Macaca fascicularis: one gene and its partner. The protein of the gene in region 1 interacts with the protein of each later gene in a biochemical or structural test. Links are inferred from orthologs where the notes say so. Each region holds a gene or a part of one and is shown in the gene's direction. Other genes may lie near its edges.

Evidence for each region.
Region 2: the proteins of NEK2 (region 1) and PPP1CC interact in far-western blotting, tested with the Homo sapiens proteins (2 studies listed by BioGRID and IntAct). The link is inferred for Macaca fascicularis from reciprocal best matches to the Homo sapiens genes NEK2 and PPP1CC.

What each region holds. Positions count from the first base shown.
Region 1 is NC_088375.1:69,478,836-69,482,472, reverse strand, and holds part of NEK2 (serine/threonine-protein kinase Nek2), read left to right. Parts: intron 1-225; coding exon 226-445; intron 446-2,322; coding exon 2,323-2,448; intron 2,449-3,637. UniProt on the Homo sapiens protein: Protein kinase which is involved in the control of centrosome separation and bipolar spindle formation in mitotic cells and chromatin condensation in meiotic cells.
Region 2 is NC_088385.1:117,624,245-117,628,641, reverse strand, and holds the start of PPP1CC (serine/threonine-protein phosphatase PP1-gamma catalytic subunit), read left to right. Parts: upstream 1-1,475; 5' UTR 1,476-1,659; coding exon 1,660-1,714; intron 1,715-4,397. UniProt on the Homo sapiens protein: Protein phosphatase that associates with over 200 regulatory proteins to form highly specific holoenzymes which dephosphorylate hundreds of biological targets.

The sequences.
Region 1 (3,637 bases):
GAAAAGGGAAAAAAGGTAAGTTAACATCTGCATTACCTTGTGGACCCAGAACCTCGTGGGTTAAAACCACCAGTGAACTTATTTTTCCAAGTGTTTAAGACCTAGCCATAAAGGAGTCCTTTCTTTTGTCTTGGAAATACATATATGTCCTTTTATTGTAACTGCTGTCTTAGGAGAACTCTTCTGTTACACAATCTGATTATATACTGCGTATTTTTTCCCCAGGATTACCATCGACCTTCTGTTGAAGAAATTCTCGAGAACCCTTTAATAGCAGATTTGGTTGCAGAAGAGCAAAGAAGAAATCTTGAGAGAAGAGGGCGACAATTAGGAGAGCCAGAAAAATTGCAGGATTCCAGCCCTGTATTAAGTGAGCTGAAACTAAAGGAAATTCAGTTACAGGAGCGAGAGCGAGCTCTCAAAGCAAGAGAAGAAAGATTGGAGCGTAAGTCTGAATGGGGGTCAAAGCAAAGGAGAACTACCAAGGGGGTTATTTTGATGTGTCTGAATATCTCTTTGAGCAGAATATTTTATACATACAGATCTTATTAGAAGCTTTTAAAAATACTTGAGAAACCAAAATATGTATTGTAGATTTTTAATAATCAGGCTTGCTAGCACCTTCATGTTGGACGTCTTTCTCTGAGATCAGTTGCTAGTTATATAATATTGGGCCTTAACAGTGATGGCCTTATACTTTATTGTAGAGTTACTTTTTTCTTTTTCATCTCTACTATGAATACCCTAATGTTTTCCCACTGTAAAGGAAGGTCTTAAAATTGCTGCTTTCCATAATAAAAACCATGACTTTTGTCTTTTGAAATGGCCACTCCAACAGAATTCCAGGTCTAAAACCCTACAGTATGTAGATGAGATATGTTCAGGCAATTCTTTTCTTTTTTTTTAACTTTTTATTTTTGAAAATGAGATGGGGTCTCACTATATTGCCCAGGCTGGTCTTGAACTCCTGAGCTCAAGCAATCCTCCCACCTTGCCTCCCAAAGTGCTGGAATTACAGGTGTGACCTACCACACCTGGTCTGTTCAGGCAATTCAATAGAGAGTCTAGATACAAGATATTTTAAGTCTATAAATAATACTCTGGTGGGTATTAACGTTAACTTACGAGTATTAACTGATTAGGTGTTAATTTAGTTTTGATGTTGAAAGTGTATCTACTCCACCAAGATGAGAGCTACTAGCAATCATTTAGGGTTACGCAAGGTAGCTACAGAGTGAGGTTCTTCATTTTAACATCAGGAGATGAGAGATGGGTCATATTTGTCACCTGTCACCCTCATGACTCACCTGATTTTACTTCTGCAGCTTTATACCTAATCCAGGCTTTAAATAATGAAATACTCTATAGTCCTGTGAGATATGCTTACTGTATAGGTACAACCTATACTTACATAGAAACCTCTGTAAAAAATAAGAAAACTTTTTCTTATAACTTTCCCCAGTGTTTCATAATTTCTTTTCTTTTCTTTTTTTTTTTTTTGAGATGGAATTTCACTCTTGTTGCCCAGGCTGGAGTACAGTGGCACCATCTTGGCTTATTGCAACCTCTGCCTTCTGGGTTCAAGCAGCTCTCCTGCCTCAGCCTCCTGAGTAGCTGGGATTACAGGCGCCTGCCACCATACCTGGCTAATTTTTGTATTTTTTAATAGAGATGGGGTTTTGCCATGTTGACCCAGCTGGTCTTGAACTCCTGACCTCAGGTGATCCACCTGCCTTGGCCTCCCAAAGTGTTGGGATTATAGGTGTGAGCCACTGTGCCCAGCCATAATTTCATATAGCAACTGAAATCTGAATACTTTCTGAATTTTGGGCCATGAATAAATAGTAACCTTTGTTATTAATACTAATCCTATGAACTACCGCCTAACTGAATTGCATTTTTTTTTTCTTTTATTTGAGTGTGGTCATTCAACCAGAAAAAAAGAAGATTTTTGTACTGTGAGGCCAGATCATGTCCTGAAAATTAGCTGTTGCCTATCTTCAATGAAGAGCAGAGATAGCTTTAGTTTTTTGTTTTCCCAATTGAGTTACTCCCACAAAAGATGACCAAAGGTTGAAGCTAACTTTGTATTTGTTTAAACAAGTCCTTTCAAGAAAATCTAAGATAAACATACAGCCTACTAAAACACTCAATTAAAAACTAACACAATCAGTTTGACTGAGGCATAGTGAGAATCCTTTCCCCAAACATTGCTTATCAGTATCAAGCATGCTAGTAGTGATAAGATTGCCAAATGTAAATCGTTTTTTAGTGAAGGTCACTTGTTAATTTTTTTTTTCTTTGTCCATTCTCTTTTTAAAGAGAAAGAACAGGAGCTTTGTGTTCGTGAAAGACTAGCAGAGGACAAACTGGCTAGAGCAGAAAATCTGTTGAAGAATTACAGCTTGCTAAAGGAACAGAAGTTCCTGTCTCTGGCAAGTAGTCCAGGTATGAGAATCAACTTGGTCAACAGAAGCTGGTGCTACAAATGAAGAAATGTGCACCAGTGTTGCTCCCAAAGTGGCTTAGGTAGCCCTTTTCATTTACAAAGTCTCAAATTTTAAGATGGATTTCATTGAATATATGCATTTCAATGGAAACAAAATTCTGTTATAGCAATGATTTATTTCCTGGGTTCATAGACCTGAGGCAATGAGTCACAGAATTTCATGTTTGATTTTCTTAACCTTATCAAACCACATGTTTAGTAATTGATACTTATTAATATTATTATTATTATTATTATTTTCTGAGATGGAGTCTCGCTCTGTTGTCCAGGCGGGAGTGCAGTGGCGCGATCTTGGCTCACTGCAAGCTCCGCCTCCCGAGTTCACGGCATTCTCCTGCCTCAGCCTCCCGAGTAGCTGGGACTACGGGTGCCCGCCACCACGCCTGGCTAATTTTTTGCAATTTTAGTATAGACGGGATTTCACTGTGTTAGCCAGGATGGTCTCAATCTCCTGACCTCATGATCTGCCCACCTCAGCCTCCCAATGTGCTGTGATTACAGGCATGAGCCACCATGCCTGGCTGATACTTATTTTTTAAAATTAGGGCATTTACAAAACTATTGTGTGTTTTAGATTTCAGAGAGATAAACTGCATTTCAAGTAAAAATCAAAATTTTAATACTGCCATGCCTCATCTTTCATAGAAAGCATGTCTTAAAAGGCATGATAAGCCACCTGCAGAATAGGCTGTCACGTTTGGATCTTTGCTAACACCCTTTCAAGCTGAAACACATATTTGTGGAAATTTCATTGTTTAATATCTACATATGTTCTCTGCATTTTCTTCTTTATTTAAAGTCTGGTATATAGATGTTCAGCTTTCTCAGGGTCCTGCCTTTGTGTGGCGTTGTCCCTTCACTCTGCCACACTGAGATGTGGTTATCGTATATACCAGTGAACCATTGTCTAACATTCTCCATTTTATAGAAACCTCTCAATCTAATTCAGTTGACTCTATGTAAAATGCAAACTGTGAAACATCTTTTTGCTTGATTTCTTTAGGGCACAAACTAACTGTTAAAAGTTGTTGGTTTAAAAAATCGAGCATCTGAATTTTCAATAAAATTTAGAGTTTTTTTTAACTCCCTTATTCCATGTAGGACAGCATATATGAAAGCTATTATTCT
Region 2 (4,397 bases), on another chromosome or scaffold:
CCTGTGGACTCCAGCAAGAGCCACCCTGACCTCCACAGTCAGATGTTCACAGCAGCGCTGGGCACCAACTCCAAATGTCACCAGCTGGGCTCATTGCCTTGCCCTGACAAATGGCACTTATGTGACTTCTGGTGGACAGAGCTGTAGCAGGGGAAAGTGAGTTGGTGCCTGAGGAAAGTGGATCGAGAGGCTGAGTTCTTAAACTCAAGGGCCCTGCACCAGTAGCGAGGGGGCCCAACTGAGGGGACATGGAGCCCTCACCCTGAGGATATTGCTTTGGAAGAGGATGCCTGGGTGGTGCAATTACCTCGTGGCATACTGAGATGGGGATTCGTGCATCCTGCATTCATTGGGAAACAAAATGAATTTCTCGGAGAGACAGGGCTTTGCAAAATGTAAAGCGCTGCAGGAAGCAACATACATGGAAAGGTCAGGAAAGAGAGCCGATCTGTTTGCTGAGTGTGGGCTGTACTTCTAAACGCGGCCAAAGTCGATGCGCAGCCCCTGGAGGTGGCACAGTTTGGGGACCCCTTGGATAGGCGTGCACTCGGGGAGGCTGGGAAGCCAGAGAGGAATGGGCCAAAGTTTCTTCGGGTATCTGCAGAACCCAGGACCGCCCGCACAGCTTGCCTCTTCTCTTCCCGCCCCTGGCCTGCACGCGTGAAATCTGCAAATTCCCCTTTCAACTGCTGCACGCGCTCGTTCAACTTCGCCCTGGCTAGAATCGGGATAACCGTCCCGATGATTATATAACTTTCCGAGTTCAGGAAAGAGAAATCCAAGGGAGAGAAATGATGAAATTTTCTTTATGGACGGATTTTTTACCTCCAAAGTAAAGTTACAGAAGTGCACAAAAATATATATATACAAATACCCATACACCCACCACTCACAAAGAGTAACTTACATTTTGACTTATCTCGAAGAGGGTTTTTTCTTTTTAGTTACCAAATAAACCTTTCTCTTCTCCCAAGTTCCAGTATATCTTAATCCAAAATAAGTCAACCTTCTTTTATTTATTATTCTCCTTTTCCATCCTCACCCCAGATTTATCTTAAAGGGTAAATTCCAGGACCCCCGAAATCCCTCGGTGAGTTCCCACATGGCCAGGTCTGCAAACGTCTAGCCTCAACGTACAAGATCCGGCGATGGCCGCAACCGGCAGTATGCACAGCTGCATTTCCTCCCCCAGCCCCAACTCCCGCATGCAACTTTGCAACTCACTCTCGGGCCCGCTGTCGGGGGCGGGCCTATTTATTCGGCCCGTTTGGCGGAAGGATCCCGCGCGTGGACGCAGTTGCGCTCAACCATCTCCGCCCCGCCCCGCGCCCTGGCCCCGCCCCCTCCCGCGCCCGGGCCCCGCCCCCTCCCGCGCGCCCTATGGCCCATAAAGAAGTCCCGGCCGGGCCGCTGCACTCCCCGCGCGCATCCGTGCGCCGCCCGAGGCTGTCTAAGGAGTCGGCGGCCATTTTGTTCTTCTCGTGGTTCCAGTGGGGAGAGAAGGAGGAAGCAGGGAGCGGGGCGGCAGGGGGGGGACCCGCCGCGGCTGCTGCCACCGCCGCCACCACCGCCTCTGCTCGTGGCGTGGGAAAGGAGGTGTGAGTCCCGGGCGCGAGCCGGCGGCGGCGCCGCTGCGGGAGGGTCGGCGGTGGGAAGGCGATGGCGGATTTAGACAAACTCAACATCGACAGCATCATCCAACGGCTGCTGGAAGGTAAGGGGGGCGGCGGGCGGCTGAAGGGGGAGGCGGGCCCGAGGGCGGCAGGCGGCCCCGGGGGCTCGAGGGAGGGGAGTTGGGAGGCCGGTTGGGCTTGCAGCACCGTGGGAAGTGAGCTTCTCGAGTTGGCCCACGGGCCGGGGGCTGCAGCTGGAGGGAGGCCAGCCCGGGATCCCCAACTTGTCGCCAGCCGCGGACCCTCCAGGCTCCACTCATTCATTGCACGAGGATGCAGGCTTTCTCCCGGCCGTGGAATTTGAAAACTCCGCTCCCCACCCCCATGTTTCCCGCCTCTACCCGTTTGCCCCCGCACACCAGACGGGTCTTTGGAGCGATTGTTGGGCTGGGGGCCCCAGTCCAGCCTCCTGGACGGCGTGCGCCGTACTGTGCGAGATGGACTTTTCGGTGCTCGTCCTCACGGAAGGCAGTTTGATGAGGGCGTGAGTTCCACCGGGTTTGGGGGCTCTTTTCCTGCTTGCTTTTATTTTTCGTGGTTCTGGGGTCTTGGGGGGCCCATTTCTTGTTACTTGGTAACAAGCGTTCATGTCTCAAGAGGTGTGAGAACCTGTCTTCGCCTGCCCTCCAAATCGTTTTAAGTTATTCTAATCTTGGAGAGGTCTCCGCGCTCTTTTCCTGAACGTGCATCTGAACAGGAAGTCAGCAAGGCTGACGGTATCGTTATCTTTCCAATGTGCCAGGCTCTGTCTTGAGCACTTTGCGTCCATGAAATTATTACTGTAATAATCATAACTGGCGCTTCTAAAGGGCTTACTGTGTGTCAAGCATTCTTTGAGCACTTAACACAGATTTCATATTCTCCCACCCATTGCAAGATATTTGCATTTTTTTTTTGTTGTTTTTGTTATTTTACAGAAGAAACTGAGATGAAGTCACTTAACCAAGGTCACACAGTTAGTGAATTGGGTTTCAAACCCAGATAGCCAGGAGCTAGTAAAACTCGCTACAGACAACACTGAAGGAAGGGGGCCAGTGGTTTAGTAAAGGTTAATAGAAAGGTTTAAATTTCGGCTCATCTAAGACTGGTGAGGTGCCTGGCAATTGATTCATGTTGATGTGGGAGAGGGGCGAGGTTCAGCTTTTAAAGACGGAAGCTGAAATGAGCTGCTTTCAGATTCAAGGGCATGTCAACAGATGCTAACATCTTATCCAAGACTTTGTAAGAATTCAGTCATACCCCTTAACTTGGACACTTCATAATGGGAACTTGGCAGTTTTAACTGCTTTTTGCCTTTATATAGTCCTAAAATATTACTGGACTATAAATGCTGTGAGTGGTGGAGTCGAGGGCATGACAGCTCTAGTGTTAGAATTTGCAGATCTTTTAAAGTAAGTTATTAAAATGAAACTCTGAAAATATCTCGTCCTTTTCTTAATCTGTGCATTCTTTCCTTTTATGCTGTCTTTAAAAAAAACACTAAATGTCATTAAGGACCCCTGAAATGCTCTTGAAATGTTATTGCAGGTGAAAACCTTGTGTTGTAGGTGAAAACCTTGTCATTCCTTTAATGTCAGGTATTTATATAAGAACCATATTTTTTCATGCTAGTTAATATAGTTCTTTATTTGAGGCAGCAGTTGGTCAGAAACTGATTAAAATAGTTTGCTGTAAGAAAAGAATTTTTTGTTAAATATTTTCTTTCTAAATTTTAAAATTCTGCTTATCTCTGCAGGGATATGTGTGGCTTTATTTCTCTGAGGAAACAGGAAAAGTTGGAATTTGCATGGATTAGAAACATTAGAATTTTAAATCTAATTAAATTAGAATTTTAAGATCATCTAAGGCTTGCTAATTTAAGTTCTGGTTTGCCCATAACTGCCTCTGTATTCATAAATAGCTTTTGTTAATTTTAATCATTACAATCCTAATAAGTAGTTTGCCTAGTAAATAATGATACATCTAAAATGAGATCATTGTTTCTTAATAGTTCCTCTTGTTATATGGCACTTGAAAACCAGGTTTTCTTATATTTCTTTTTTTGCTGAAATTAATAAAGCAGTGCATTTTAATGCCTTGGGAATAGGCTAACTGCAAAGTATACTTAAATTTCCTTTTTTCTCGTGGGTGTTAAATTGGCAGAGAAACATTTGAAGATGATCCATTGAGGATATGTAGATATCTAAGTTAAATGATGTTGGTAATAAATTCTGTGCTTTACAAGTTTTTTATTTTAAAAAAATTAAATGTAATAATTTAAAATAGAAATGAGAGTCTCACTGTGTTGCCCAGGCTGTTCTCAAACTCCTGGTTTCAAGCAATCCTCCCACCTCGGCCTCCCTGGGTTCTGGGGTTATAGTCATGAGCCACCATGCCCGGCCTGAATTTTGTGCTTTTCGTAATGCCCCCAAAACCTTTTTTTTTTTCCCCTTAAATGCTTTAAGATGTAAGTATATCTGAAAGTAGAGGCAATACGACTTTTGTGACCTTGGTAGACTTTTTCACGTGTTCAGAATTGATCTTTTAAGCTTGAGAGCAGTATAAGCTAGTTGAGAAGTAGCTCAGTAATAGTACTAAAAAGCTAACTGAAAAGTGAAGTCTTAAGAAAAACAGCATGTTGGTTTAGATCTTAGTCACTAACTTTGCAGTTCTTTTCTTTTCTGAACTCCTGAATGTTTCTGTAAGTAATGGCATCACCTCTGCAACCCACCATGGATGCTTTTA